3 linked regions of the Alligator mississippiensis genome follow. The protein of the gene in region 1 purifies or fractionates together with the protein of each later gene. This does not show direct contact. Links are inferred from orthologs where the notes say so. Each region holds a gene or a part of one and is shown in the gene's direction. Other genes may lie near its edges.

Region 1 (9,761 bases):
GAACTCCTGGTCAAGCTCTTGACTTTGGGTGGGAGGTCTGTAGTAGACTCCCAGCATTGTGTCCCCTATGCCATGTTTCCCATGGATTTTAACCCAGAGGGTCTCTAGTCGTCCACCCTGGCTGCCAATATTGTCTTGCAGGGATATGTAGCTCTCCTTGACATAGAGAGCTACACCCCCACCCCTTTTGTCCACTCAAATTCTCCTGTACAGGGTATAGCCATCTATACCCATGGTCCAGTCATGGGTGGAGTCCTACCAGGTCTCCATTATGCCTATGGCATCATAATTATTTGTGTTAAGCAGGAGGACAAGTTCCTCCTGTTTATTCCCCAAGCTCCTGGCATTCGTGTACGGGCAGGCAAGTGTCCCCTTAGGGGCCCTTGCCTTGCCTACAAATTGTTCCAGGGCTAGGGCAGGAGTGGACTCCCTTAAGTGCCTTGGCCTGCTGGCTTTGCAAGGGTTGCTCAGTGGGCCAGCAGTGCTGGTAGTCCCTCCATCCCCCAGTAGGCTTAGTTTAAAGCCCAGTGGAACAGGTCAGCCAGTCTGGCTGAGAAGAGCCTCCTCCCCAGCAGAGAGAGGTGGAGGCCATCTCCTCCCAGCAGCTTGCTGCCTCTCTCACCAAAGAGTGGACTGTGGTCATGGAAGCCAAAGTCTTCCCGATGACACCAGTGCCTCAGTCTTTGGTTCACTACCTGGATCCTCCTCTCCCTCCTCAGCCCATAGCCTATGACTGGGAGGATCGAAGAAAACGCCACCTGCACCCCTAGACCCTTTAGCACTGCTCCCAAATCCCTGTAGCACTTCATGACCCAGGTGGGAGCCTCTCAACCATGTAATTGGTGCCCACATGAATAAGGAGGATAGGGTAGTGGTCAGTGGGCTGGAGGAGCTTAGGGATCTTCTCCGCAATGTCTCAAATACAGGCTCCTGGGAAGCAGCAAACTTCCCAGGCTAAGGGGTTGGGGCGGCAGATTGCCATCTCAGTCCCCCTCAGGATGGAGTCTCCCGCGACAAACACTCTGCATTTTGTCTTGGGGAGAGCAGGGGTGGTAGCTACAGTAGACCCTGTCTTGCCTGTGGGAGCTGGCAACTCAGCAGGCCCTGCTGCAGGAGGTTTGTACCTTTTGCAAAGCTCCAGTGGGGCAGAGACCTTGGTGCAGCAGGCCTTGGGGCCCTTGACCACCTTAGTCCAAGCCCTTGGCTGGACAGAATGGGAGGTCCCCAAGTCCTCCCTTGTCCTGGAGGGAGACCGTGGTCTACCCTCCATCTCCCAGGGGAGAAGGGCCTGGCAGTAGGAGTCGATCTCCTGCTCACAGTCCCTGATGGCACGCAGTCTCTGGACTGTGGCCTGGAGCTCCTCCAGCTGGCACACCAGAGACCCCAAAATTATTAATTCATTTTAACTCATTAGGCACCCATGCACATGCAGCAAAGCTGCTCTGACATGCTGTAATTACAGTGTGTCGGAGCAGACTCAATCGAGTCTACTGGAACATGGTAATTACTGTGCTCCAGCAGACTCCAGCGTCACCTGTATCAGTGTCCCCATGCTGAAAAATGGCAGCGGGGGTGCTTTAACTAAAGTTCATTCCCTATTTTTCAGCACAGGGACGCTGATACATGCAATGCTCTGGGTGGTTTAATTACAGCAGCTCTTGGAGCCACTGTAATTAAAGTGCCCCTCCCCCCACTCACAGAGTACATGTATAAACACCATTTATAATTCTTAAAATATAACATATTGGTAAGACTGACAAGACAGGCCAATGAAGCTGAACATCTTGTGGAGGTCTTAAAGTGCTGAAATTATTTATGGAAATTAATTTATTGGCATTAATGTTATATATTACTTGAATTGTGTAGGGAATTAAATCTTTTCATATCTCAATACACTCTCTTTGGATCTAATTACATCAGACCTGCACACATCACCCTGATAACGTGTAAGAAATTTGCAGTACCACAGGTTTTTTTCTTTAATTGCTATGATTTTTTTTTAATTGCTATGATTAATCTGAGGGCTCATAGCTCATTGGCTTAGTTCATCAAAATAACTTAGTATTTAAGGAACGAGAGTTCAGTATCACTAGCGATGTTCCTCAGCAAGCTACAAGCTACCAAAGGGCTGTTGCTAAGCTGATGCATCCGTTGTCTCCCACTTTGCCTTACAAATAAAATGAAGCTGTTTGCCAAGGTGGTGGGGTTCACAGCAATGTTTTTGTTATCAAAGAGCACAGTTCCATAAAGAGTTTTACTATTCTCACATCACTTAATCATTGATATTTTAAAAAACAGCAAATTGCACAGTGCCGCTATTCATGGCATTTGTGAATGGTTGACCTGCTTTTGTTCTCCCAACAGCTGTGTAGGTGGAAGAAACAGTGAGATAAGTTGCAGTAAATTCTTACGAGCTCACTTAAGAAAAATGAGCATTCTCCTCTTCCCCAACCAAAACCATGCCCAAATCCTTAAAAAGAAGAAGGTAGCTGTATGAATTTGCCATGTTTCTTATAGTGACATTTTATATAACTGCTGTCTCTAACATTCATTAAAAATTGAAGTTCCGAACTTATTTTCTGAAGCCAAAATAGATTGGCCTAAGAACCATTTTTAACTATCTACTGATAAAATTGGATATGAATTTCAGGGCACTCCAGTTAGAAACATAAGACTGGAGTGGGCTTTCTGGGACATTGAGTCTAGTCCTCTGAATCTGCATGCAAATATTTAGCAAAGGTAAGAATTCCCCAAAACCAGCACTTGAAACCTTGCTCACAACTACTAATCACAAAACAGAAGCCCTAACAATATCCTTCTACATTATCTACTGAAATGACAGAAAGGTAATAGGTTAGTATATGCTCAGAGGACCCTAAGAAAAAGCCAATATGACCTAGGAGAAAATTTCCCTAAGTGTTCAGTACCACTCCAACTGGAATCACAAGACCCTCTTCTAAGGACCCTCAGAGTTTTCTAAGTCTGGCCAGAACACTAGCATACCTTGGTCAAAACTCACCAGCCTTACCTGGAGCTAACATTTTGCTACTTCAGAGAAAGGTGAAAACAAGAGCAACTCAAAAGAAAACAAACCAAAACAAACTACTTCCTCTTTGCTCCCATAGCTGAGCTATTCCTTTTTTCCATTTCCAATGATTCCTGTTTCTTTGCCAGCCTTAAATGTTTGGCAAACATCACCAAACTGGGTCCAAACAATTCACACAGAATCCCTCTCTCACCCCCTTTCTCAGCCTGTGTTTAGCATGGCCCCACCTTCCATGAAGCTGCCCTGCACCTTATTTGCATATTTATTTTGGACAATCCCAGGATTCATGACAAGAACACCTCTTTACAGTAATGAGTGGGGGGATAATTAGCACATGGATCCTTTGTCAGGGGTGGGTACCTGGAGTACACAAACATACCAAGCAGTGCTCAGTTATGGGGTCACCAGAGCTTGAAATGCTGCTGACTCTGGCAGGGCCCAGCCCAAAGAACTGTGGTAAATCATGCTTTTTGGCTTTGGATTAATATCATACATAGTTTGTACTACATATAAGTGGGTATGTCTACATGTGAAATTAATTTGATGCAGTAAACTCTGGTGCAGTTCATGCTGGAATGTATTGCTCCCAGGCACATGGCATTATGCCATTCCTGGGGTAGCTGTAGCAGGGCACAGAGTGTAAATTTACACAGCATGTAAATAGGTGGAAATAGAGGTTAAAGAAGGGAAGGGAGGGGTGAAACAAGGGGGAAATAATGCCAAAGGTAAATATGGGAGACTCTACTGTAGTTGAATTCTCCAAGGTAGAAAAGAGGTGGGCAAAAGAGGAGACTCAAGGCATTGAGTCTATTTAAGGAGTGCAGTCACTCAGTTTTGGGACAGAGAGAAGATGAGGGTAAAAGTGAGACCTAAGTATCAGTGGTGCAGTAACATCTGTAGAGCAGTGTGAGTGGGTAGGAAGAATGCTTTTTCCCTCCTGCTCTCCATTTTCTGCAGCAATCCCATTTGTTCAAATTTGATTCAGGCATGACATTGGAGGGGGGAGAGGGTTGAAACTCTTGTTCTGTTTTTTTGGAAGTTCATGGTCTGTTCTACATGAGCAATGTCCCTTTAAAAATGAGAGTTCTCTACAGATGTTCAAGATAATATTTCTGATTTGATTTCATATATGCAACCAGAACAAACATTTCAGTGAAAACAGAAAGACATGTTTTCATGAGATATAGAATTATGCACAGCTTTCAATAAGATCGTGAAACTATTGCAGAGTGCTTATGTGCATTATTCACCACAGGGGGATATATTGTTCAGTAGACATTATGCATCCTGCCATCTGCTGATGCTATTTAGGGAACGTTTATAAAATGATAACTACTAAAATAATTAGCTAATTCATTTAATAATGTGATGCCTAAAACTGGCCAAAAAGAACATGTACTAATTCCTATCCACCTCCATTGTTACCTTAAGAGCGGTTCTCTCCATAGCAACTGAAAACTTTTCAAGGCTGCAATAAACTAATCCTCTCCAGCTTCCAGAGCACCATCAAGGAATTTTAAAAACATCGGGCATTCCAGCAGCTAAATACTTTTGGGGATTCAAAAGGCCATAAAGCTAGAGATATTCAGTCATTCTTTTTTTTTTCTCCAGAAGGTAAGAAAATAATGTTAAAAATGGTTGTGCCCCTATAATCGTGATGCTTTCTAACCTCTTTCTAACTGCTTAGTTGAAACCAAAATTCTTTTTTAAACGTCAAAGCCTTTCTTTACATCTACTCCACAGCCAACTATTCTTTGATTGAATGCCAGTTTGTAATTCAGCAAAATTGTTAGTGCAATCTACTTAACATTCTGCTAGAATAACCTTATTATTTTTAAAAGTAATCAGACCTGTATTATTTTACAGTTAAGAGAAGATGATATTGTATATGGCTATTTAACCTATGTAGTTTATTGTTAACCAATATATGTATAGTACCCAAGAACTGCTCACCAGCAAAGGGAAAATTCATGGCTGGAAAACAAAAGTTAAAAAACTCTTTCCCCATTACTATGCTTCTCTGGCAGGATGAATTAGAGTTAAAAGAAATCTGACAGTGAGGTAGCATATGGGCAGGATAGTAGTCACTTTGACTATTTGGAATGCTCTCTTTGCATCTAGAATTTTTAAAGTGAGAATTAGTTGCCTTTTGTGTAGTTTAATTTTTTACAAGCTGTTTGAACAACATTATGATGTCTGACTTGTAACTTTCCTCTAACTATAAAGCAGTATAAATTCTGGTTACCATAAGATTTTTCTTTTTGTTTACAACTCATGTTTGTTAATGCTTCTAATGTGTTTTGAAGATGCAGACCACTATATATCATTACTAAATATCATCGTTACTGTACATTTTTATCAGAGTTATTTCATCACGCTTTATCTGTACTTAGTGTACATGAATGTTACCAGTCCTTGGGAATCTTTGTAATGGAGTAAAAGTAACGGTATTTTCTTATACTTACTAAAGAAGATTATTGTCAAATACAGTAGCATAACACTGAAATGAAAAATGACTATTTAGAAGTTTTGTGGTGGGGGAAAGGTAGTCTGATTCACCTTCTTATCCATAATTCTACAGAATTTTTAAGGCTACACTTATCTTAGTTTCCTGTTATTTCAGGCTGTAAAGTTTCTACAGACCCCCTGTTGTTCAGAAACAGCTTGTCACTGCAAATCAGCTTAGCCAACCAATTAATAAATCCTTTCAAACATATTGCAGTCACTCTAATTAAAGGGTTTTTTTTTCCTTTGCCATAGAAATTCCTCCGGTTTCAAGTCTAACTTGTGAAGTGCATACCACATTACAGCACTCAGCACAGACTTGCGCTACAGAAAGAAGAAGAAATGTGCTTTCTGACCAAGCATCCAACTTTTTGGGTGATATATTCAGTTTTCATATTCAGTACAATTACTGCAGAAGCACAGCCTAAGAAAGAGCATAAGCAGGATGGCAGCTCTGTGCTGATGGAAGTTTTACGCATTCTTTCAGCTGACAACAGCACTGAGTTCCACAAGAACCATTCACGGGAACTGATCAAAATATTGCTGGAGAGAATTGAATGTCCACAGCGGACTAATGGGATACAGGAGGACTGTAATCTGGTTAGTGCCTCAATTAATGAAGGAAACATTTAAATGAGTTCTAAAATCATTATATTAGGATGAAGCCACCTTGAATCTTGGCCCTGTAAGAAGTTCAGTCTTAAACAGAAATGAACTTCTGAAATGCTTTAATTGCAAATTATTTATATGGCTGATCTAGTCTTGTAAAAAGAAACTCCAAATATCAAGCATACTTAAAGACTTAGTATCATTTACTTCTCACATATCGGTAATAATTTTCCCCATATAATTTTCAGATATTTTTTAAACTCTTCAGTCTACAGTGAAAGCACTAGCTTGAATTTGCAACATCAAAGGCTGTTCATGGTAGGTAGAGATAAATGAACACAATGGGAATGGCTTTGTAAAGTTTTATCATTATTGTTTTCACTTGGCCCAATGCAAGGCTAGTTCATATCCACAGGCCATTTCCTCCATGCCTCTAAGGAATGGGTGAGGTCTTTATAAAACTGACAAGTCAATGGAGACCAAGAGCAATGAAACTACAAAGCTTTCCAGGCTCTGGAAATGGAAAAAAAAATGAGTATCAAAATTTTAGGACCACAGCTTTAGAGAGAACTTAGTCTCAATTTACCAGGCAACTAAGGACTGGGGGCACCTATACACATGTTGGATGTCTGCTCCAACACATCCTAATTAGGGAACGGAGGCACAGCAGCAAGCTGTGCTAGGGCAGACAGACAGGCAGCCCAGAAATAAAGAGCTGCAAACAGATGAGCTAAGCTGCAACAGGAGAAAGCAGGTTGTTCATCAGGGTCAAAATGGGAAATCCTGTGTCTGGTTGTAGAATGACCTGACAGGAAGTGGCAGGGCATGGAAGGCACATAAAGCCAGTGCCTGAAGCCAGTCAGTCAGTCTGGACTTGCAGGTAGAAAGGGGAAGAGCTGCTGAGCAAAAGGGCTACAAAAGACTGACCCACTGAGAACAGAAACAAAGAGGGCTCACTTTGGGACCCTGGGGCAGCCTCCCTTTTTATAATCCAATTTTTCCAATGAAGATGTGACAGGTAGAAAAAGAGGGAGGGTACTCAGGAAGTCTGAGTGGGCAGGAACTGTATGGCCACTTGGGCTAGGGACAGACATTACATATAAACCGGTTTAAGTGATCAGAACCTAGTTTAAACCTGTAACAGAACAGATGTTCAGTGCACATAATCCAGTTTGAAAATGGCTGAAACCAGTTTGAGATAAACCTGGTTGAATGTAGTATCAGATTTAACTGATTTGGCTCAAACCGGTTTATGCAATGTCTGTCCCAGACTCCTTGCTGCTTTAAGACAAACTAGACTCTCCCAGCATCCAGACATGTTCTCTGGGCTGGGTGCTCCCACAACAGGGCTGGCCCCTCCCCTCTGTTCCCTGGCTGCAGCTCTGACACAGGCTGTGGCCTACTCCCCCCGTTCCCCTGACCACTTGCGGCTAAGCAGGAATTCCCCCCTCTCCTCTGCCTTGCAGAGAAGTGCCTGTGTTTTAGCTAGCACACCACATGCTGGCTATGGTTCCTGCTGAATCAACAGGTAGAATCAACAGATAGCTGGTAATATCCCTCTGTTGTTTTCTTAATGGGGTAATAAACACTGAGTTAAGGGTGATAAACACTGTTATCAGTTCCCTGTTGGGCTAATTAGAGCATCCTGCTGGGGTCTGGCCATGGCCCCCCTCAGCTCAGTGCTATGGAAGGGAAGGGAGGGCTGCTCTAGCACCCCCCAGCTTCTAGCCTTAGCCACTGCAAACATGTCCCTACATACCTGGGATGTCTGCGCAGTTACAAACTAGTTCAGCCTAGCCAGGTTAAACTAACCTGCAAAGATTGAATCAATTTAAGCTCTGGCTTTTTGAATGTCTATCCCTAGCTCTGGGGGCATCATGGCTACTCTTGCAACCTCAGGCCCATTACACCTGCCCATATAGCAGTGCAGAAGCAGCTATGCTTCTCCCTGGTTAAGAAGCCCCAAACAGCACAGCATTCTGGAGGATGCTGCTACCAGGTTACTGTGTAACTATGACCTATGTTTGCCTCTGCCTATATTTCACATTGGGTATATTTGAAAGGATGGGTTGGGTTAACAAGAAGCTCTAGATTATATTCTGCCTCCCCAAAGGGAGATGTGCTGTTGGGATCCAGCTCACTGATAGAGGACAAATTTACCTGAACCTAAACTAGATGTCTAACTAACAAGACAGGGTTGAAAGAAAATGGGGAGCAAGAATTAGCCAGCTTTTGTCCAGCACATTTTCAACTTCTTAATGAAGTGCCCTAATTAGCAGGCATTGGGCTAAACTGAGCTGTGGGCTCCATCACTCCTGTTAATAATTTTCAGAAATGTAATTTCTTTTCTGGAATTTTCTTATCCATAGTTCTTCAGTCTGCCAGAGTTTCTTGGTCTTTCAGGCCTTTCAGTTTACAATGAACTTTGCCTAAGGTGACAGTGAAAGGGGCATAAGTATGGGAATAAATGGAGTCTTGCAGAGGCATTTTGTAATATTGCTGTTTCAACATATTCTACCTTCCCTGAAAGTGTAAGCCATGCCATGCAGAGAGCTTGTATAAGGCATGTGCATTATTTCACTCTTTCTCAAAACATGTTTTGAGGACTTAATCAGTGTGTAGGTCTTTTCCTGGTTCACTGCACAGGGGTGAATATTACATAACTACCTAATCGGAAAAATTCATACATATTTTTTAAAAATCCATAAAAATACAGGCCTAATTTTGCTGTCTTACAGTGATACAAAAACAGAGTAATCCTGATTCCTTTCACTTTTACTCTGATGTAACTGAGAGACAAATTTGGCTCTTTGTAGACTTAATTCTAAAAACTTAATGAATGTATGAGTGGAAGTTGTGCAGAAATTAAAGAACAGTTTGGTGCTAGTGACAGTTGTCTGCAGTGTGGGCAAGAAAGCTTGTTTAAGTCCATGGGGATCCTTGAGCTGGCTCCAGTGGCCATTGGATCAGCCTTAAATGGGGATAAGGCTTTAGGCACTGGTCCCATTACTCCCAGGTAGAGAGGGTTATAGAACAGAATATGGCAGGTGGGTAGCTGCTTCTAATATTGCACAATTTTACTTTTTTGCCTACTGATCATAATTTTACCACACAGTTCTGCATTGGTGCAGACTAAAGACTAGGCCTTTAATAATAAATCTGAGCTCCCCTCTTCTCTAATCCTAGGTATAGGAGATTAATAATGATGTTATTTAAACCTAATTTCCATTTCTTTAATAATTCACAGTGCCTTGAACCAGATGCTTTGTTATTAATAGCTGGAGGAGATTTAGAGGACCATCTCAGTGAAGAAGTGTTCCAGAGAATTTCTCTCATTCTTCTCTACTATATTATTCATCAAAGAGATATCTGTTCTTCCAAGATCAGTCTGAGTAACAAAGACTATAAATTTTACCTGCACAGCTTGCTCAGTTTAAGGCATGATGAAGACTGCTATTATTTTTCACGGAATGAAACTGAAGATATTTTGGCTGCAATGAGGCAACGTTTTAAAACTTCTGAAAACCAGGTAACAAAATATCCAGTAGTTATAAACAACAAAATACTTGACAAAGATAAAATGGCTGTGTGCTAGATCTGC
Region 2 (9,596 bases), about 98 Mb from region 1:
GCCTCCCCCTCCCAGGTGAGAGCGCGGGTGCCTGCGAGGGGGGAGGGGCGGGGAATGCTGCGCTTCAAGGGGAGGGGCTGTCCTTAAAGGGGCAAGCGCGCAGTTCGGACTTTGTGACGGCCGGGGGTTATTGTCTGTCCGGCTGGAGGGAGACACGCTGGGGGCGGCCGTGACTCTTAAAGGGGCGGCGGCGCGCGGCAGGAGCTGCCCTCTCTGCCGGGCTCCGCAAGGGCGGCGGGGACTAGCCGGCGGCAGCCTCGGGGTTCTGTCCTTCAGGCGGAAGGGGCGGGGCTCGGCGCCGGGCGCCTTCCACTTCCTGTCCCAAAGAGCTGTCCCCACCCGCGGGCCGTGCTCCCCCCCCTTCGCGTGCAGGCGGCGCAGTCGCAGGGAAGTAGCCTTACGGGGGCTGAGCCTGGGCCTGGCACCCAGGGCTTGGTCCTGCTTGGCCCAGGCAGGAGGAGGTAGCTGGCAGCCCTTACGACTTGGCCACCCCCTCGTGGACGACCCACCAGCCCCGCAGGCCCTGATTACTCCCCCCCCCTCCCCCTTGGCTGACCCACGGTGCGGGCAGTGGGCAGGTGGCTCCAGCCCACCAACCAGGGCAACACAGCAATGCCCACTCATCCTGGGGCTGCTGCGGTACCACCACTGTGGACCAGTGAGAGCCAGGGAGGTCCTACTGCCCTGTCAGACACAGGGGAGCTGACCAAGCCCCTGGAGGATCCCCTCCCGAGGATGCAGCACAGCCAGCAGGAGAGAACTCCTGCCAGCTCAGCCTGGGTTGCCGGGGCTCTTGGTCTGGTTAGGCTGGTAGGAAGCCCCCCCTAATAGTCCATGCTGCCTTCTGAGGGCTCAGCTGGCCTAGCTGCAGAGGCAGCAAGTCCCTGCAACAGGCTTCCCAGGTAGTAACATCTGAGCCCAGAGAGAGCTGCTTCCAGGAACCCAGGCTGCCTGCTCTATTCCCAGTGCAGAAGCAAGTTAGCATAGCCTATGCAGTGAGCAGCAGGATGCGCCTGAGCTCAGCTGGGGAGACCTGGGGCAGATGGGAGGGTCACCAACTGGCATCCCTACACATGTTTTTGCTCACCCCCTGAGATCTGCAAGAGTCCCAGCAGCCCATGCAAACAGCACGGCTCATAATGAGATGAATGACCATTATTTTCTCTATTCTCCTGGGTCAGCCTGGAGTCACCTGTGACTGAAGTGGGGTTCAGCTCCCCCAGGGTAAATCTGGGGTCCCCTTGGCCCGGCTTAGAGTGGCCGTATGGCCTGGCTTGGGGTTAGCTCTGCGCTGACTTGTGTTCTGTTCTGCTGCAGGTACAGGTGAGATGGTGGGAGCCCAGCGGCTCGAGATGGCAGAGATGCAGCCAGCCCCACTGCCGCAGCCAGGTGCCAGTGAGCACCAGTATGAGTGTCTGGAGTGTGGCAAGGTCTTCAAGTGGTCATCGCGGCTCATTCACCACCAGCGTACGCACACTGGGGAGCGCCCCTACAAGTGCTCGGAGTGCCCCAAGGCCTTCAAGGGTTCCTCAGCACTGCTCTACCACCAGCGCAGCCACACTGGGGAGCGCCCCTACAAGTGCACTGACTGTGGCAAGGCCTTCAAGCGCTCCTCACTGCTGCAGATCCACCAGAGCGTGCACACCGGTCTGCGCTCCTTCAAATGCACCCTTTGCGGTATGGCCTTCAAGTGGTCCTCACATTACCAGTACCATGTGCGCCAGCATACAGGTGAGCGCCCGTATAAGTGCACCACATGCGAGAAGGCCTTCAAAAACTCATCCAGCCTGCGGCGTCACCGCAACATCCACACAGGCGAGCGCCCCTATGTCTGCACAGCGTGCGGCAAAGCCTTCACCCAGTCCACCAACCTGCGGCAGCACCAGCGCATTCACACAGGTGAGCGCCCCTACAAGTGTGCTGACTGCACCAAGACCTTCACCCATTCTTCCAATCTCCTACTGCACCAACGCACCCATGCCAGCAGCCGGGCCCACAAGTGCCAGGCTTGTGGCAAGGCTTTTGTCTCGGAGACCTACCTCCAGAAGCACCTGCAGACGCATGCGGCTAAGGCACCGACCGCTTACGGTGAGGCCGAGCTGGCCTGTGCACCAACTGAGCTGTTTTTGGCTGCTGCCGCAGAGGCAGTAGAAACTGTGGAGATGCTATGGAAGTGTGGGGACTGTGAACTGACCTTCAAAAGTGAGGAACTGCTGTTGGGCCACCAGCAGAGCCACCTGGAGGCGGCCCCGCCTCTGCCAGCTGAGGAGCTGCCTGTTGCACCACTCTACACCTGCCCCACCTGTGGCAAGGCCTTCAAAAATGGGTCAGGGCTGTCACGGCACCAGCACAGCCACACTGGTGAGCGACCCTACAAGTGCTCCATCTGTGAGAAGACCTTTGTGCAGCTCTCCAACCTTCTGGCACACCAGCGCACACACCCTGCTGAGCAGCAGCTCATTCAGGCTGAGGCTGAGGTCACCTGCCCTCAGTCAGCAACTGAGCCTTCCCCAACTCCGGCCCCTGTTCTGGCCCCAGCCCCTGCTGAGGCAGCTGAGCGCCCCTACAAGTGCACAGAGTGTGGCAAGGCCTTCAAAGGCTCATCAGGGCTGCGCTACCACCTGCGAGACCACACTGGGGAGCGCCCCTACAAGTGCTTGGAGTGCCCCAAGGCCTTCAAGCGCTCTTCACTGTTGTCTATCCACCAGCGTGTGCACACTGGTTTGCGTGCCTTCAAGTGTGCTGAGTGCGGCCTCACCTTCAAGTGGTCATCGCATTACCAGTACCACCTACGCCTGCACACAGGTGAGCGCCCCTACAGCTGTACCGACTGCGGCAAGGCCTTCAAGAACACTTCCTGCCTGCGGCGCCACCGCCAGCTGCATACTGGTGAGCGCCCCTTCACCTGCCTTGTCTGTGGCAAGGCCTTCACACAGACCTCCAACTTGCGGCAGCATCAGCGTACTCACACAGGTGAGCGTCCCTACACCTGCCAGCAGTGTGGCAAGACCTTCACCCACTCCTCCAACCTGCAGCTGCACCAGCGAACTCATTCTAGTGAGCGCCCCTTCAAGTGCCCTGTCTGTGCCAAGGGTTTCGTCATGGCCTCTTACCTGCAGCGCCACCTCCGCACGCACGCTACCGAGGCAGGTACCCCTGAGGCCAAGAGTGAGATGCCAGCCCAGGGCCTTCCACTCACACCCAGCACCCAGGAGGTGCACATTGTGCCCAACCTGCAGGCCACCCTCAATCTAGAGGTGGCTAGCCCACCCAGTGCCCCTAACTCCCAGACCTTCCTGCTGGTGCAGACAGCACAGGGCTTGCAGCTGATCCCCAGCATCCAGCAGAGCCCCCAGAAGCTGATCCTCCTGCCCAGCCCGCAGATGGTGTCCCCACACCAGAAAGTGCCCATTCTTCAGAGTACCCCCAACATCACCCTGATGCCCAGCAGCCCCACAGTTCCCAGCAAGCCACCCCCCCGCCGGCAGGGCAAGGCCAAGAAGCAGGCTGCCCCCAGTAACCCCAACCCACCACAGCCTGGCCAGAACATCATTCTGGTGCCAGCCAGCGGGCAGGCACTGCCTAGCATGCAGATCCAGACTTTGCCAGGATCTCAGCGGGTGCCAGGGCTCCAGACCGGGCAGAATGTTATTGTGCTGCAGAACATGCCTGAGCAGCCCTCTGCTGAGGTAACTAATGTCCAAGTCCAGGGCTTGCCACAGCCCCCTGAGGTGACTGGCATCCCAGCCTTGTCGCAGCCTCAGGACGTGACCAGCATCCAGATCCAGGCCCTGCAGCAGAGCTCCCTGGAGGCAGAGGAGGCTCAAACTCTTCCCAGCTCCCATGAACTGTCCAGTGCCCAGCTCCCTGCAGATGCTGGGCAAGAGATGGCAGACCTGCCAGAGGGCCAGGACCTGATTGTGGTGCAGAGCGCACAGAGTGATGACTTGCTGGGGCCAGGGACTGAAGTGAGTGGCCTAGAAGGGGTGCAGGATGTGCACCTGGAGATGCTGCAGACGGCTGAGGGACTGCAGAACGTCTTGGTACTGCGTGGTGCTGATGGGGAGCAGACCCGCTTCTGTGTGCAGGAAGTGGAGAACCTACCAGAGCTGCCCCCAGAGAGCGGATCAGGGGCCCTGACGGCTCCTGGGGGGCAGAAGCTCTTCATCATCCGCAGCACTCCCAGTGAGCAGACCCTGCAGGTCCTGGAGAACGTGTCAGGTCTGCAGGCACTGCCAGGACTCCCAGGCCCCAATGTGGGACAGCTCCCCCTGCAGGCACGGGGGGTGCCCAACAGCCCAGGGAGTGGCCAGCCCTCCTCTGGCAACACCCAGATGGTACAGCTGCTGCCAAGCCCAGTGCCACCTCCCCAGGAGCTGCAGTCCATCCAAATAGTGCAGACAGTGCCCAGTGTGCAGCTGGTTCATACCTTCTGAGTCCCATGCACCTGGCCTTGCAGGTGCCTGCCTTGCCCTGCTGGCCAGTACTGTGCCAGCGCATGTTGAACTTGGGGTGAATGTCCCCTCCTCTACTGTCATGCCATGTACTACAGACACTGTCCAGCTGGCTGCAGCAGAGGGCTCTGGGTTGCCTGATGAGCGCAGGCAGCCCCTGACTGCCTTTCCAACCTTGGCTGTAGCCTTCCAAGGCATAGGGCTGGTAGGACCTGACATCCATGTCATCAGAGCTGAGTCAGTTCTAGCTGGGCGTGGGATTGTGTAGCTGGGCTCCAGTTGCAAGGCGCTGTTTGCCTGTCCCTGAGCAGAGGTGCAGTGGGAGCTGGCCTGAGTGCTTCCCTAGCCTTGTCTAGCTGGACTCCAGTTGCAAGGCGCTGTTTGCCTGTCCCTGAGCAGAGGTGCAATGGGAGCTGGCCAGAGTGTTTCTCTAGCCTCTGCTCACTTCTAGTGTTTGAGCCTCTTCCAGGGCTGGGAGGAGAGTGGGGTCCAGAGGTCCAGAGCAGGCTACCTCAGGAACCAGGACTCCTAGGTTGTGTCTTGGCTCTGCAGGGGAGGAGTGAGTGGGTAGTAGGTTTGCCCAGGATTCCTGGGTTCTTTTCCTGACTGTCTGCCTTGCTAGGCCACCTTAGCTAAGTCTCTTCTTAGCTGCAGGAGGGGCCAGTGCTGTGAGGCTGCATGTGTACACGCAAACATGCTTTTCTCTTGGGGGAGGGGCCTGGGTGGGCACAGCTCTGCCTGCTGATCTGTGGAAACCCATTGCTCTCCCAGGCAGGAGATGGCATTGTGGCACAAGGGAGCAAGTGCAATGGTCTCCCAAGCCATTAGGCACCACTTCCCTGCCACCCAGATGCTGCCCTGAGCCCCCTGGCTGGGTTGGATCCTATCTCTTCCATAGTGACACCTGGCACTGCTCCCCAAAGGACACAGCTGCTTCAGCCCAGGCGGCAAATAAAGGACTGCTTATGAAGGGTCTGTGCCTGGTTTACTCAGTTTGCCGGGAGCGAGCTGTAGTGGCCCGAAGTGGGGAGCAGGGGTGACTGGAACAGAGGGCTGCCGGGAAAGGGCTGGGCTGAACTGCCCACCGGGAGGAGGAGGGATCCCCTCGGGGAGCAGCCTCTCTACCTGCCCCGTTCGGGGCGCGGCGGGCAGCCGGCGGGGTGGCGCCCCGCACAGCCAACCCGGCCTCGGGCAGGCGCCAAGCTCCCAGGCAGGGCCGGGTCGGGGCAGGGATCCCGGCTCAGCCGCAGGGGAGGCGGGTGGAGGGCAGGGTTGGTGGTTGTGAGGCTACCGGCGTACCCCCTCCACGCTCGCTGACTGCAGCGCCCTAGCCCGGCTCCGAGCAGCTGGGCCGCAGCACACGCTCAGCGCCATAGTGCGGGTGCCCCTCCCTGGTGCTAGAACAGCGGAGTGTGGGCGGGGCCGGGAGGGAAGCGGCCGGTGGGCGGGCTGCGCAGGCGCAGTGGGAGCGGCCGAGTCGGCTGAGCGCCAGGGAGGGTGAGGCTGCTCGCGGGCCCCGGGCGGATCCATTCATCCGGCGCGGGGGAGGCGGTTGGTTGAGGCTCCGTTCCGCGGAGCTGCCGGCTGTACCATTGGGGGGGCGGGCCGCCGGGTCCCTCCCCTGTGCTTCGCGCGGGGGCGGCCTGGTTCGTCCGGGCTCCGGCGCTTACCTGCCCGTCCTTGCCCCGCAGGGCCCGCCTGGCTGCCACGATGCCCGTGCTGGACCTTGCCCAGCTCGCCGTGCGCAGAATGCGGGAGGAGGAGGCACCCATCGTCCTGGAGCTGCTGAAGGTCTCCCTGGGGGTGGGGGCGCTCTGGTAGCCGGTTGCTGTGTCTGGCCAAGCTCTGTCCCTGGCTCTGCCCATAGTACCTGCCCCCAACTCTCTCCCCCTCCCCCAGTAACCAGCCCACTTCGCCACCTGCTTGTCCCTGGTGCCAGGGCCCAGGCATGGGCAGAGACAGTGACCCCAAATGGAAGAGTCCATAGACCTGGATGGGGTGAGAGCCAGCAGGGCAGAGGTGGGGGCCAAGCTGGGGTGCAGGATCCAGGCCCTGTGGGGATGCCAGACACCTGCCTTGCACCGCAGCAGCAGGGAGCAAGGCAGGACCAGCCAGGCGCCCCAGGGTGGAAGCTCTTTGCCCTGTGGCTCATCTCTCAGTCTGGGCCAGAGCCAAACAAGCAAAGCAGCTGGACAGGCAGCTGCTCAGCCCCAGCCAGGGTTGCCTCCAGGACCCAGGATTTCTGCATGGTCTCCCCTCCACCTGCTAACTAGGCCCAGCACTGTTTAGCTTTTGAGTTTAGACAAGATTGGGTGCATTCAGTCAGGTACGGGCACCTCCAGTGGGGGCCTCAACCTGGAGCCTTGCTTGTATTGGTAAGCTGTGGAGACTGAGCCCTTACAGCAGTGACTCACTACCAGGGTGCTGGCACACTGTGTTAGGAGATGAGGTGTGGGGAGATAATTGGATATGGGCAGGCTCAGGCTCTCCCTGCCTGGCTGCTCCCCTGCCCACACTACTTAGTCTGCCAGCAAGGAGGTAAGTACTATAATACATGTATTAGTTTTTAAATGGGGCGCCTCTCAATTCACAGAAGTTATTGAGGGGCGCCTCAAGTCTGATGAGTGGCACCTTTAGGCTAAAAATGTTGAAAATCACTGCCTTACAAGTCATCTGCTCCAGCCCTCCAAGGCCCAGGAGTCCCCTACTCTAATCCCCTGGGTCCCCTTCCTGTCACCAAGCTAGCAGTAGAACCCAGGATTTCTGACTTCTACCCATCTCCCTAAAATCAAAGGCAGCCAAGCTTCTGCCTGTGTCTTGTGTCTTGTACTTGTGACAGAAATACTGGATTGAGGTCCTGCCTCCCTTGCCTTCCCAAACTGCCTCTGAACTCAGCAAGCTCTACTGCTGGGGGCATTTTCCTTTCCACCTAGGTGCCCCTTACTCCAGCCTGGGGTACACCCTTCAGGAAGACTCTGGCTCACCTACAGCTTTGGATTGAGCCACATTCTATGCTCTCTGGGCCTGGCGCAGCCCAGCTGGTGCCGTCACCTGTGCTGCCTGGACAGTGTGCCCCTCCCTGCCACACCATGGTCCCTGCCCATGCTCATGTTGCCCTCCCCTCCACAGGATGGCTTTAAAGACACAGAGAACCGGCTGATCCTGTATGTCCTGACACGACCCCTGGTGCTGCTGCTCATGGCTGTAGTGAGCAGCGCCCTCCGCTTCCTGCTCAACTCTTTTGTGGCTGCTCTGTTGGTGCCTGTGTTGCTCACCATTGTGGCCCTCAAGCTGCTCCTGTGGCGGTCCGCTGACCTCCACTGCCTGCATACCTACTACTGTGGGGGCCAGCGGGGCCTCTGGGTGGCGGTGTACGATGGCGATGATGTGTGTGGATGCGTGGCACTGGAGCCCTGGGACCAAGGCCCACCTCGCGCAGCAGAACTAAAGCGCCTGGCTGTCAGCCGCTGGTACCGGCGATCTGGAGTGGGCCGGCACCTGCTGGCCTTCCTGGAGGCACAGGCCCGAGAACAAGGCTATGAGCGTGTCGTGCTCTATACCTCAGTAGTCGCCAAGGCTGCCATGAACCTCTTTGAGAGCTGTGGCTACCAGGCAACTGGCGGGCGAAGCTGGCTGGGCTACACCGTTGTGCAGGAGTTCAGCAAGGAGCTGTAGCATCTGCCCCTACCCGGCGCCCTCCTGACGGTGGGGTAAGAGGGGCCAGCTGGGGCTTCTCCATCCTCCACTGCACCTCGGAGAACTTGTACAAGGGGATTCAGGGAGCATCTGTGAACAGTCCAAGGCCTCCACACTCAGAGGACAGGGGGCACCACCTTTGAATGTGTGTGCATACAAGGGCCTTTCTGAGTGTGCTTCCATGGGAGTTGGATGTCATCAGGTGGATCCTGCTATGAGGGCCCAGGCAATGTGTAATATGCTGGGGCTGATGCTGAGGCATGGAGCAAACACTAGGAAATGCTTGTTGGGAGACAGTAACCTCCTGCCAGCAAAGTCATGGCTCATGGCATGCCTAGAGAGAATGGAAGAAGCCTGTGAAGCATGGACTGGGAAGGACTGTTTCTTGTGATGTGGGCCTGGGGGCACCCCTCCTTCCCTAGGGGCTATCCCATCCCAGAACAGCCTTCTACCATGCATAGGCTTGGCTGGGACTAGGAAATGTGAATGAGGGGGTGGGCAAGGAAATGGTGCCCAAGAGTCTAATGCCCATCCCCATCGTAGCTGTGACTGAAGGTTGCTTTTGGAGACAAGGAGGCTGCACATAGGCTCCAGTAACTGCAGTGGCATCTGGCTTGGTTCTCAGAGCTGCTGAGCATTTCTGTCACCCCTAGCATTAGGCCTGTGTGTGTATTTGAACGTACGTGTGAATAAAGCGTGTTGTAGTGACTGCTTCACCTGTCTACATGCTGGGATGGGCCTGCCCTCAGTCAGCCTCCAGCTGGACAGGGATCTATGACTGTGAGGAGGCTGGGGCCCCCTTTACTCCTGACAGGGGTGGATCTGGCACACAGAGTGCCAGGGTGGCTGGTGCTTGACAGGAAATGTCTTTTCTGCCCCATCTTGTGTAGCGTTGGGGTCCGCACAGCTGCTCCCTAGAGCTGCACTGGGGTCAGCATCAGCTGCCGGTGTGCTTGTTTCCTGCCCATAGTACAGCAGCACCTCCACATGCCACAATGGGCATCAGGGCCTGCCCTGGCTGTTAAGGGAGAGCTGCACCTGTACTGAGTCATCCCCACCTCACTTCCTACAGAGCAATGCTACTTAGAGCCTCACTGGAGTCAGCATGGGCTGACAGGAGGAGTGCATCCTGCTGAATCCCCATGCTGCACCTTGTAGCCCAGCACCCTCCGAGCTCCCACACCCACTTTCTGCAGCACTTCCCCCTAATGATGTAGTGGAGCATCACAGTATTGGGGGGTGCTGCCCTGCTGCACTCAGCTCCTGGCTCCTTGTTGCACAGCACCCACTAGTGCTGCCTGGGGTTCACAGGTGCCAGCACTGCCTGCTCAGGTCCCCTGCCTACAGTGCTGGGGTACTGGGTGGGGGTGGGGGGGAGGGCAGGGAGGGGTGGAGAACACCTCATGATATGCTTCAGAGCCCCCTCTGCCTGTGCTCCAGGCCAGG
Region 3 (10,130 bases), on another chromosome or scaffold:
GTGGCTCCCCTGTTCTACCTGTGGCACATCTATGTTGGGCCAGGTCTGACAACAGTCTTATGTAGAGTTTAGATTATGGTTTAAGCAGGATGGTTTGGACTTTGCTGATCCTGCTTCAGGCAGGGGGCTGGACTAGATGACCTCCAGATGTCCCTTCCAGGCCTACTTCTCTATGACTCTGCTCTAAAAGATGCTAGGTTGCTGCAATCTGCCTCTTTTTATGTAAAAAAACAGAAGCGACAAGAAGTGAAACCCTGACATTGGCACGGGAGGTCTGGGGAAGGAGTCAAAGAATTGCCCAGAAGTAGGGCTGGAAGGTACCTCCAGAGGGTATCTCATCCAACCCCCTGCCTGAGGCAGCGTCAGCCCCATACACCCCCCCTTCCCCCCATACAGCCATCATCTAAGCTCTACACACTACTGCCAACCCTGACAACACAGACCACGAGGAAGCCACCTAGGCCGGAGCCGCCTACGGGGGCAGCAGGACCGTTCCGCCCGCTCCCGCTCGCAGGCCGACGTCCCCGCGACACAGGCAGGGCGGAGCGGGGCGGCGCGGGGCTCACGCTGAAGGCAGGCAGGCTGCCGTCGGTGGCGCGCCGCAGCTCCCGGACCAGCTCTACCGCCCGCTCGCAAAACATGCTGGAGTGCGCTGGGGACTGCGCAGCTTTCCCGCGGCCGCCGGTCCGTTCCGCCAATGAGAGGCGTGGAAGAGCCCAGGCCACGCCCCCTTCCCTACAGGCACTGGCGAGGGGCAAATTTCTCCACGCTCGAACGGAGGCCGCCCCGCTCCCCAGCTTTTCCCGAGGAGCGGCTCCGCCCCCGAGCCCAAAGTGGGCGTGTCTCGCCATGCTGCCCCGCCCCCTCTTCTGTTCCGTGTGCTGAGCGGGACTGGTATCAGTCCTGTCGCGCTGCCGCTGCCCCTTTGAGCTCCTCTGCCTGCTCCGAGCCCTGCACAGCCTGCCCGCTGCCCCGACGGGCTCTCTGGGGGCTCACCCTCTCTTCGCTCTCCCCTCTTCATCTGCACTTGGGCTTCCTCCAGCCCCTCCTTCCATGTGCCCTGCCCCCTTCTCTGCCCTGCCCTTCCCCTTCTCTCCTCAGGATAGACCCCCTAGGGCTGCATCCTCCTGTCCTCCCTGAGCCCCTCCCGTACACTTGCTAGGGTGTGTCTACACGTGCATTAAGGCGCTTTAATGCGCATTAAATCTACTACCTTCATTGTGAGATACTAGGAACATGGGGCATTTTTCCACCTGCTCCAGATATGGCAGGGCACCAGGAGCTTTAATTAGCAAACTGCCCTAACTAAAAGCACCCATGTGTCATGTGTATCAGCATTGCCATGTGTCCCTGCACTGAAAAAATGGCAGAGGGGTGCTTTGAACTAAAGCTCATCAAATGTGTTTTATTTCAAAGCGCCCTACTGCCATTTTTTCACTGTGGGGACAGGTGGCCATGCTGATACACATGAGGCGGAAGGCTGCTGGAGCCTGGCAATTTCTGGGCTCCAGCAGACTCAATTAACTGAGTCTGCTCCAACATACTGGATTTACAGTGCATTGGAGCAGGCTCGGTGCATGTGTGTAGGAGCCTCACGAGGTACTAGGAAAATGCACATGAGCCTGGCTTAATGTGCATGGACTAAAGAACACGGTTTTTAAATTATGCTTAATGTACATTAGCCTATTTTAATCTGCATTAAGTAAAAAGCACAGGTTTTTAAGCGATGCTTTAATGCACATTAAAGTAAGATAATGCGCATTGAAGCCCTCAAGTACATTAAAATAAGATAATGCACATTAAAGCCCTCAAGTTCCTTCCTCATTCAATCCTCCTAGCACTCTGAGTGAATTAGAGCAGTTGGTGCCCACCTTTTGTGCAGGCTTGCCACAAATTAGCCCGATGCCCTCCCCAAGTGCCATCCCAACCCTCTTCCTCTGCCCAATCTGCTGCTTTGCTTTCTGCTCCCTAATCTGTGCTCCCTGCCCAAGCTCCTCCTTTGCTCCCTGCCTGATCTCCTGCTGCACTTTCTGCTCCCTGTCCTATGCTCTGCTGTCTTGCCTGACCCCTTCCCAATCTGTCATGTGTCACACGCAGAGACTGCCTGTGCCACATGAAGCACTGGTGTTGCAAAACTGGAAAACTGCACCCATGAGTTAGAGCACACCTGATCCAGACCTGACTACCTCTCATATTGTCTTCAATCCATGGGCCTTAGGACATGCTCTGTATCCCTAAGAGTAACAGAAAGTCATGAGCAGCCTGATGCCTGTTATGAACGTCTGGAATGCCACTTAGCAAAATAACAGTAATTTTTGCAAGTGGCCTTTATACTCTTACAATAATTCCGGATATGTTCTGCTGATATCTTGGATTTAAAGTCTGATAGGGAGTTATTTTTAAAATTAGTTAATATTAACAGATGTTTTAAAGGAAATGACAAAGCATAATTCAGTGTATTGTCCAATACTTTGTATGTCTTGTCTGTATCGTATGTACTTTTGAACTGAAGACTTATGTTGAAATAATGGCTTCCTCTTTCTTAACCCACCTACTTTCTGATTATCCCTGGAAATAAGTCTAATGCTAAATTTATATTGCATTTATCTCCACATCAAAATGCTCTGTTACAACTATGAAAAAAAGCTGCCAGATGGAAAAGGATGGATGAGAGACTGCATCACATGAGTTCTGTTTGGTCACCAGTGGCGGTTTACTTTCCTGCGCACAAATTTCTTCTTGCCTTTTCTCTTAAATTAAGGGCATGGCAGTACCAGTGTCATTTCTGGTATACTGTCAGAGGACTACAGTACATGCAACCTTGTAGGGACGAACTCAATGATGACATAAATCTAGAAATCCAAATGGCACGAAGATCTGAAAGGGTGTAAGGACTGACCCCTGCATTTGTTGCTTAGGAGTTTCTTCTCAAATATGATGGTCAGATAAGCTTTAATTTTAGACAATTCTGTTTAGTAAATGGCAATAAGCACACAGATATTTATTTAACAGATAGATTGGTTTCAGAATATTATTTATTTCAAATTTGCATTAGAAAGCATGTCTCTTTAAACTCTCCAATCTTTTTGTTCTGAATGTAGTGTCCAGCGTAACTGTAAATCACAAAATTTATTTTGCCAGCAAACCTTTCAAAATATGTGTTTCCCCCCAAGCATACCAAAAGCAATTAACTTAAAAGAATCTTCATGTAATAATGTGAAACTCTTCTGGGAACTGCTGGAAACACAATCAAGTGACAAATATCTCTGTACATGGCCCAGTGAAATACAGTGATATTTCAGATAGCTATGTCAACCAACCAAGGTGCAAAGTTGTAAGTCTATCAAGGCAAAGTTTGATGGGAAAGACAACCTGTAGCAACACAAGGTGGAAGGTGAAACTCAATGGCTGTGCAGGGGCCTAGAAGAAATACTACTTCTGCTCATGTGGAATATTCTCTTTGTTATAATTTTTGAGCAGTAAAGGCTGCACTGAAGGCTACAGGGAGATTTTTTATTTTCTTTCTCTTTCATATAGTGTCAGATAATTCCCATTTGCCAATTCACTCTTTACATTTACATTTTTTGAGTGAAACTGGCCAGGCTTACCCTGAACCAAAAGCTCATTTGTGGTATCAAAAGGGAAGATGCCAGATAGCACGCTTAAAAGGTTGTGAGTGAAGAGAGTGTGGTTTATTGCTTGGATTTTTGGGGGGCGGGGGAGCCCCCACCTCTGAGATACTGAGTGCCTATGGCCATGCAATCCTGCTGTAGGTGGGATATTCCTGCTTTCGGGAATAATGACCTGTCATCTTTTCAGAAGAGGCATGATAGTGGGAAGGCCTGCTCTTGGTAATGTGTTGCTCACGAGCCTAGCGAAGCAGCTCGGGCACAGCTTGGAGACCTCCCAGTGTTCCCAGGTCTTAAATAAGAAATGATAGTATTGGAAGCTCAATTTTTTTGTATTTCCTGAAAAATTATAGTACACTGAAAAACTATACTAATAAATATGCAAATAAGTCTTCTTATTATTTTCTTTATATTGCTCACTGTAAGTTGCCAGTGAGTGAGAACTGGGTCATCAAAGTTGAAGCATTTCTTTATTTTGAGGCAAGCATTCATAAGAAAGTGCTAACAGCAAACCCAAAAGTCAGTTAAGACACCCTAAGAGTGACTTACGTTTTGCATATAGTGCATCAATTAGCAACCTTAAAAATTGTTACACGTTTTGCAGTCATTGTGGTAGAGGTGGTATCTTTTATGAGACCAACTAGATCCGGGGTCAGCAAGGTTTTTGAGCAGAGTGCCAAAAACACCCACAACCTTGACTTGTAAGATGTTGGCATGCCAGGGTTGGGTGGTGGGAGAGCTGCCAGGAGCTCGATCCTTGTTGTGGCAGTGCAGCCTCAACCACTTCCCCACTTGCATGCACCAAGCAAAATGTCTTCAGGTGCCACCCTCTGGCACATGTGTTGGGGGTTGCCTACCCCTGAACTAGATAGTTAAAAAATATATATATTTATTTGCAAGCTTTTGGGCTCATGCACCCTTCCTCAAGTAAAGGAGAATGCAAAGAATGCAAAATTTTTCCCAGATAGAAATGCAACTTCATATTGCACAGGAGAGCTGGAGGGTGATATAAGTTTTCCTGGGTGGATAAGTTAATTTTACTGGGTTTTTGGTTGTAGCCGTGTTGGTCTAAGGACATGGGCAGGCAAGGTTCTTTGAGTAGATGTGATATCTTTTATTAAACCAACTGAGTAGTTGGGAAAAACATTTTAGCAAGCTTTCGAGCACAGTCACCCTTCTTCAGGCATAGGGAATCTCTGCTGTTCTGAGACTCCAAGGAATGAGAGAACCTGAAAGTATGACAGGATGTCAGTGAGAATGTAAATAGGTAGAAATTAGGAAAACAAAAGGTAAAGCAGGGAAGGGAGGGGTGAAAAAAGCAGGGGGAAGGAAAGTCAAAGGTGAGTAAGGGGGACTCAATAGTGGTGAAAATTTAAGGTACGAAAGAGGCTGTCTGTGAAAAAGGAAATAACTGGAAATTAGGAAGACAAAGGGCAGAAAAGTGGAGGAAGTTCATTTTATGAACTTATACCACCCTCCAGCTCTCCTGTGCAACAGGAAGTTTCATTTCTACCTGGGGGAAATTTTGCAATCTCTGCATTCTCCTTTGCCTGAGCAAGGGTGCGTGAGCCTAAAAAATTGCAAATAAAGACTTTTTTCTCTCACAATTATCTAGTTGGTTTAATAAAAGATATTGCCTCTACCCTGGGTGACTGGTGCCTCCTGAATCTGGGGGGGCACCTGCAGAAGCCACTGATGGCGTTGGCAGCAGGACGGGGCTGGCAAGCACCCACAGAAGCTGCTGACAGTGGTGGTGGCGGCCCTGTCAGGGGGTGCACCGGCCCTGTCAATGGTATCAGTGTCAGCCATCGGGGGTGCACTGGCCCAATGGGGAGGGCACGTGCACCCCCGTATACCCCCTACCAGTTGCCTATGGCCTCTACCACACTGACTGCTTTTGTTTTTAGACCAACATGGCTACAACCTTTATTCCTTGTACATTTTGAACATATTATTGATTGTACATCCTACAAAGGTTGAAATGATTGTACATATACAATAATTATTGTACACCTGGCAACATTGACCTCCCTTTGGCAGGGACCATCCACCCAGTTGCCTTACGCCAGTGATCCTCAAACTTTATTGTACAAGGACCCATTTGTAAATACCAATGGCCAGTACACCTCACTCCTGACCCACAGCCCCCCACTCCCAGTATGTGGGGCAGGGGAGGGCGGGATTTGTGGGGCAAAGGGAACGCCAAACAGCCCCTTGTGGGCTTGAGCTCTGTCAGCCTGCAAGGGAAAAGCCACGTTTTTCTCCTTCAAAGGAGAACCCATTTTTAAAGTTTGTTTGCAACCCTTTCATACATTCTTGCGACACACTTTTGGGTGGCGACCCACTGGTTAAGAAACACTAGCTTAGGGAACATGCCTTACTTAGATTTTGCTTCACCCTCACTCAAGATGGCCTCCCTCTCAGGAGGTCGTACTCCCTTGCCCGTCCTTAAGATGGCAACCAGGGAGGAAAAGCGCGGAGGGGACGACCACCCACACTTCTTTGGCTTGCCCGTACTCAAGGTGGTGGCGGAAGGAGGAGCTCAGCCGCCATCTTTGGTACGGGCAAGCGGAACCACGCCCCCTTCCCCTTCCCCTTCCCTTTGGCTTGAAGCCGCAGCACAGCTGGGGGGGGGGGGAATCACGTGGCCTCCCGGCCGCCCCTGATTGGCCAGGCTGCACAGGGCCTGTCAGCGGCCGAGCCGCTGCGGGCGCAATGTAGCGGAGCGCCGGTTGCCTTCAGAGCTGCCGGCTCGAGCCGGGCGCTGCCGCCGTCCGCGGGATGAGAAAACGGAACGAGTCCGTGACGGTGGAGCATGAGCGCCTCGCTGCCGCCCCGCCACCGCCCCCGGCTGCCGGCTGCAGCCTGAGGCACAGCCTGCGCCTGCCTGGCGGCCCCGCCCGAGACGCGGGTATGAAGCGGCCGCTCGGCAGGTGAGACCCCCGGGGCGGCGGGGGAGGGGCGGCCGGGCCAGCGGCCGGGGGGGGGGGGTGTTGATGACGCAGCGGGATTCGAGGCGGGGGCTGCGTCAGGGTTCGATACGGCGGGAGGAGGGGCCGGGTTCCCTGCCGTGCCCCCTGCTGCGCGCATGCAGCTCTTTAGTGATCCATTCGCTTATTTAGTCATTTTATTTATTTACTCATCTTTTTTAGTTCATGTTTTATTCATTTATGTGTTTTGCATAGCACAAAAGCCACCTGCCTCCAAGTGCAACTGGTCTCCCCCACCCCCGCTTCCCCCCGGCCTATCCCAGCACTCAGGGGTGTGTGGGTGTGTGTGTGGGGTGGGGGGGTTGTGTTTGGTGCCGCTGCCAGCTCTGCCTTGACTCTTTAGCATGCCCGCCCGGCCCCGGGAAGGGATGTATTTTATTTATTAATGCTGGGGGCGTATGTCAGGCTGTGCTGTTAGGATGGTGCGTTTTGAGGGTGACTTCCTGTGTGTGAAGTGGGGTGAAAACAAAAATAAAAAAGGGAAGGAGAAGGGGAGGGGGTGGGGGAAGCCAGGCTGGCCATGACAGGCAGGACTCTGAAGCAAGAACTGTGTAAAGGATGCAGGTTTTGTCTTTGGCTGGCTTTCCTTCCCCCTCCCTCCAAAGTCCCAATTACAAAAATATTTCTGGCAGTTTCAGCAGCTGCAGGCATGCTGGAGTGGTGGATGAGAATGACATCTTTTCAAATGGTGTCTTTGGAAGCCTGTTGACGGGGCTTCTTGTTTTATTGGCCAGTTAGCAGGAAAGAACTGAATTTGTTGCCTTTAAAATACTTAAATCTGTCTACTAATTTTCCATTACTGATGCAGATTTGGCAGGGTTATTTATAAAATGGTGGTTTTGAATACAGCTGATGAGAGAGAGAGAGACTTAAGACTATGCTACTTATTGGTTATTATGCAATAATTGCTGATACTTTTATGACCTAAAGGTCATCTTGGGATGCTGTCAAGACTGGTGCATTAAGAAAAGCTTTTGGGAATGGAAGGAGGCATTCAGATGATCGTGCTTTCCTTCTGAATGAGTACACAGTTTATGTGCTTTCGCAGATCTTCCAATTTAGTAATATTTTTTTAAAACCATGCTATTATATTATGTGCAAGACTTCAGACAAAAGTAAACTAGTTCATCCAGGTTTTTTAGCTATATACAGAAGCAGGAGTCCTGCCAAAGACAGTATACTGAAGTGATCCTTAAGGATTAATGAAGACTAAGTTGTTGACTTCATATAGCATTCAGACGTCTTTTTAGAAATGTGTTTAGTGAGCATACTGCAGCTACAAGGTATTTCACTCTGGCAAGGATAATTTAATTATATTTGAAGACTATCTCCCTGCAGAGAACAGGTACCTCCCTGTCTTTATTTATCTTTCTTTCATATTTTGAGGACTTGGTAACAACTTTTAATAAGATAAAGAAATACAATGGAGAAAATCTAATGGCCCGTTCAAAGATCAGGTAGACTTTTCCATTCACTTCACAGGATTTTGGAAGATGCAGCTTCTTAGGGATTTGCAGGTGGTTACCATGTATACTTACATAAATATAACAAATATGATGTCCACAGAACCAAAAATTGACAAGTCAGCATGAAAGGCACAGGTGTCAGGAGTATTTGGTATCTAGGGATTGACTGCCAAGGTTGTGTGTGTGTGTGTGCATGCGTGCCATCAAGAAGACCGTTTTTTGCTATCAAGAATAAACTTTTCTTGCAAGTTTCCTAATCTGGGGTACTTGGAGGCAGATTAGAAGTTGTAGCAGCTTGAAGTTATTTATTTATTTTTTTTAATGACTATAAAGTAATGCAGCCAGTATATCCATCCTCATAAATGTCTGTATTCATTTTGACCCTGTCCTTAAATATGCTATGAACTGTAACACTTACAGTATACATGTTTACTTTAAGAATTTTGGTTCATTTTAGGGGTTGAGGTGGTAAGATGTTAGAGAAAACTGGAAGTTTTAGCAGCCTGCATGAGGTTTCTTGATTCTGGAAAGATGCGTGACTTTGAAACTGTAGGAAAAGTGTGTTAGTAGGATCACTCTTAAACTAATTATATGTGTGAAATAATTAATCACTCTTAAGATGTCAGCGTTAGGTTTGAGGGCCAACATCCTGTTCAGATAGAATAAACCAGTTTGTACCTCTAAATGCAGGGTGATAATACATGGGCTAGAATTTGTTCATGTTTTTTGTTCTTTGTAAACAATGAAGATCATTATTTAAAAGAAAAATAGCTTGGAAGCTGTTGCACAGTTCTGCAGTGAAAGGTTGGTCATGTGGCAGGTCGCATGGTCTCAGAATGTGCAGCCTGGAAAGGCAGTGATGTTTACCACAGGGCTGCATGATGGTGATTTTAAAACACCAGCAGTTTTTCCATGTGTGGTTTCAAGCAAGATTTGCTGCATTCTGCTTGTTTACAGTGAAAATTGTTCATGTGCATTTTTTTTTTTTTTTCAGAGCCGCATGGGGTTTGAATTGCACTTTGGGAATGGGGTCTGCACAAAAATTTGGGCTGCCTGTCATGATGTCCTAATAAAATTGAAGACCCCTCCCCCTCCCCCCCCCCCAGCTTATGATTTGCAAATCTTACATGGGGGCTCTTGTCTCTTATGAGGGGGCTCCCCCATAATTCAAATCCTGGAGCAGCACAGACAAAAATAACAGAGTACTTGTAAATTTAGGCAATACTTGTAGGAGATAATATTGACAGCATTGAAAACTATTTTTACATGGCTTGTTTCCTCTATCCCATTGTTTTATTTAGTGTGCTTCCAGCACACTTGTCCAACAACTGAATCACACTGATGTATGTGCACAACCACTTACTTTAACTAACTTTATAATATAGCCTTCTGCCTATTTATATGGAGGTGGATGTCTGCATCTTTCAGATTGTAGTTTGGTTAAAGTCTATTCTACCTCTTTGCTTAAAAAAAAAAAAAGAGTACTGTAAGTGCTGCTTTTTGGAAAGTAAGAAATAAATGTATGTATTTGTACTTATTCCTCTGTGGGTGTAGATGAAGTTTTAAAACTAAATGCAGCAACATTTTGAGAAGTGTTCCATAATTTTACAGGCCTTTTTTACCTTTGGAAAGTTTTGCACCTCTGAAAATCAGGCAGAAAATGCTAAATGATGGTGAGCATTTTGGCCATTATTAATCGGGGTAAACTTGCACAGTGGTATATGCTCTAAATTCCAGATGTTTGCTTATTTTATTCTTTTCTTTGAGGTTGCCTGCCATCTCTGTATTCAATTGTAGGTTATGCTGAAGGTGACAGCATTAAAGTAAGCATTAGAAGGGTAATTATATGGCTTGTATGTAGTAATAATCATAATGGGCTAATGGTATTTTGCTGTCCAGTTACTATGTTCTTGTAAGGAAATGCATTTGAGCTAGGTTTATTAAAAGTAACAGAAGTTGTATGTGAAAACATGCATTGTAAAATCAGGTTGGTTTTGTTAAAGTTTAATCTCTTAACTTGTATGGCATCACAATTAATTGTTGTT

Evidence for each region.
Region 2: the proteins of SLC39A12 (region 1) and NAT14 purify together in Homo sapiens (co-immunoprecipitation; 3 studies listed by BioGRID and IntAct, counting the BioPlex papers as one, with this or other methods). This does not show direct contact. The link is inferred for Alligator mississippiensis from reciprocal best matches to the Homo sapiens genes SLC39A12 and NAT14.
Region 3: the proteins of SLC39A12 (region 1) and ABHD12 purify together in Homo sapiens (co-immunoprecipitation; 3 studies listed by BioGRID and IntAct, counting the BioPlex papers as one, with this or other methods). This does not show direct contact. The link is inferred for Alligator mississippiensis from reciprocal best matches to the Homo sapiens genes SLC39A12 and ABHD12.

Annotation. Positions count from the first base shown.
Region 1 is NC_081828.1:182,240,503-182,250,263, forward strand, and holds the start of SLC39A12 (zinc transporter ZIP12), read left to right. Parts: upstream 1-5,819; 5' UTR 5,820-5,893; coding exon 5,894-6,151; intron 6,152-9,407; coding exon 9,408-9,689; intron 9,690-9,761. UniProt on the Homo sapiens protein: Uniporter that promotes Zn(2+) import from the extracellular space to the cytoplasm across the cell membrane. The transport activity is temperature dependent. May play a role in neurulation and neurite extension.
Region 2 is NC_081828.1:84,026,373-84,035,968, reverse strand, and holds NAT14 (probable N-acetyltransferase 14), read left to right. Parts: upstream 1-5,882; 5' UTR 5,883-5,951; intron 5,952-5,958; exon of another isoform or gene 5,959-6,005; intron 6,006-6,145; 5' UTR 6,146-6,164; coding exon 6,165-6,245; intron 6,246-7,583; coding exon 7,584-8,129; 3' UTR 8,130-8,858; downstream 8,859-9,596. Other genes in the region: ZNF628 (zinc finger protein 628), read left to right, coding at 1,329-4,436. UniProt on the Homo sapiens protein: Probable acetyltransferase. May act as a transcription factor that regulates the expression of coproporphyrinogen oxidase by binding to a promoter regulatory element.
Region 3 is NC_081824.1:234,391,722-234,401,851, reverse strand, and holds the start of ABHD12 (lysophosphatidylserine lipase ABHD12), read left to right. Parts: upstream 1-6,296; 5' UTR 6,297-6,410; coding exon 6,411-6,562; intron 6,563-10,130. Other genes in the region: GINS1 (DNA replication complex GINS protein PSF1), read right to left, coding at 567-641.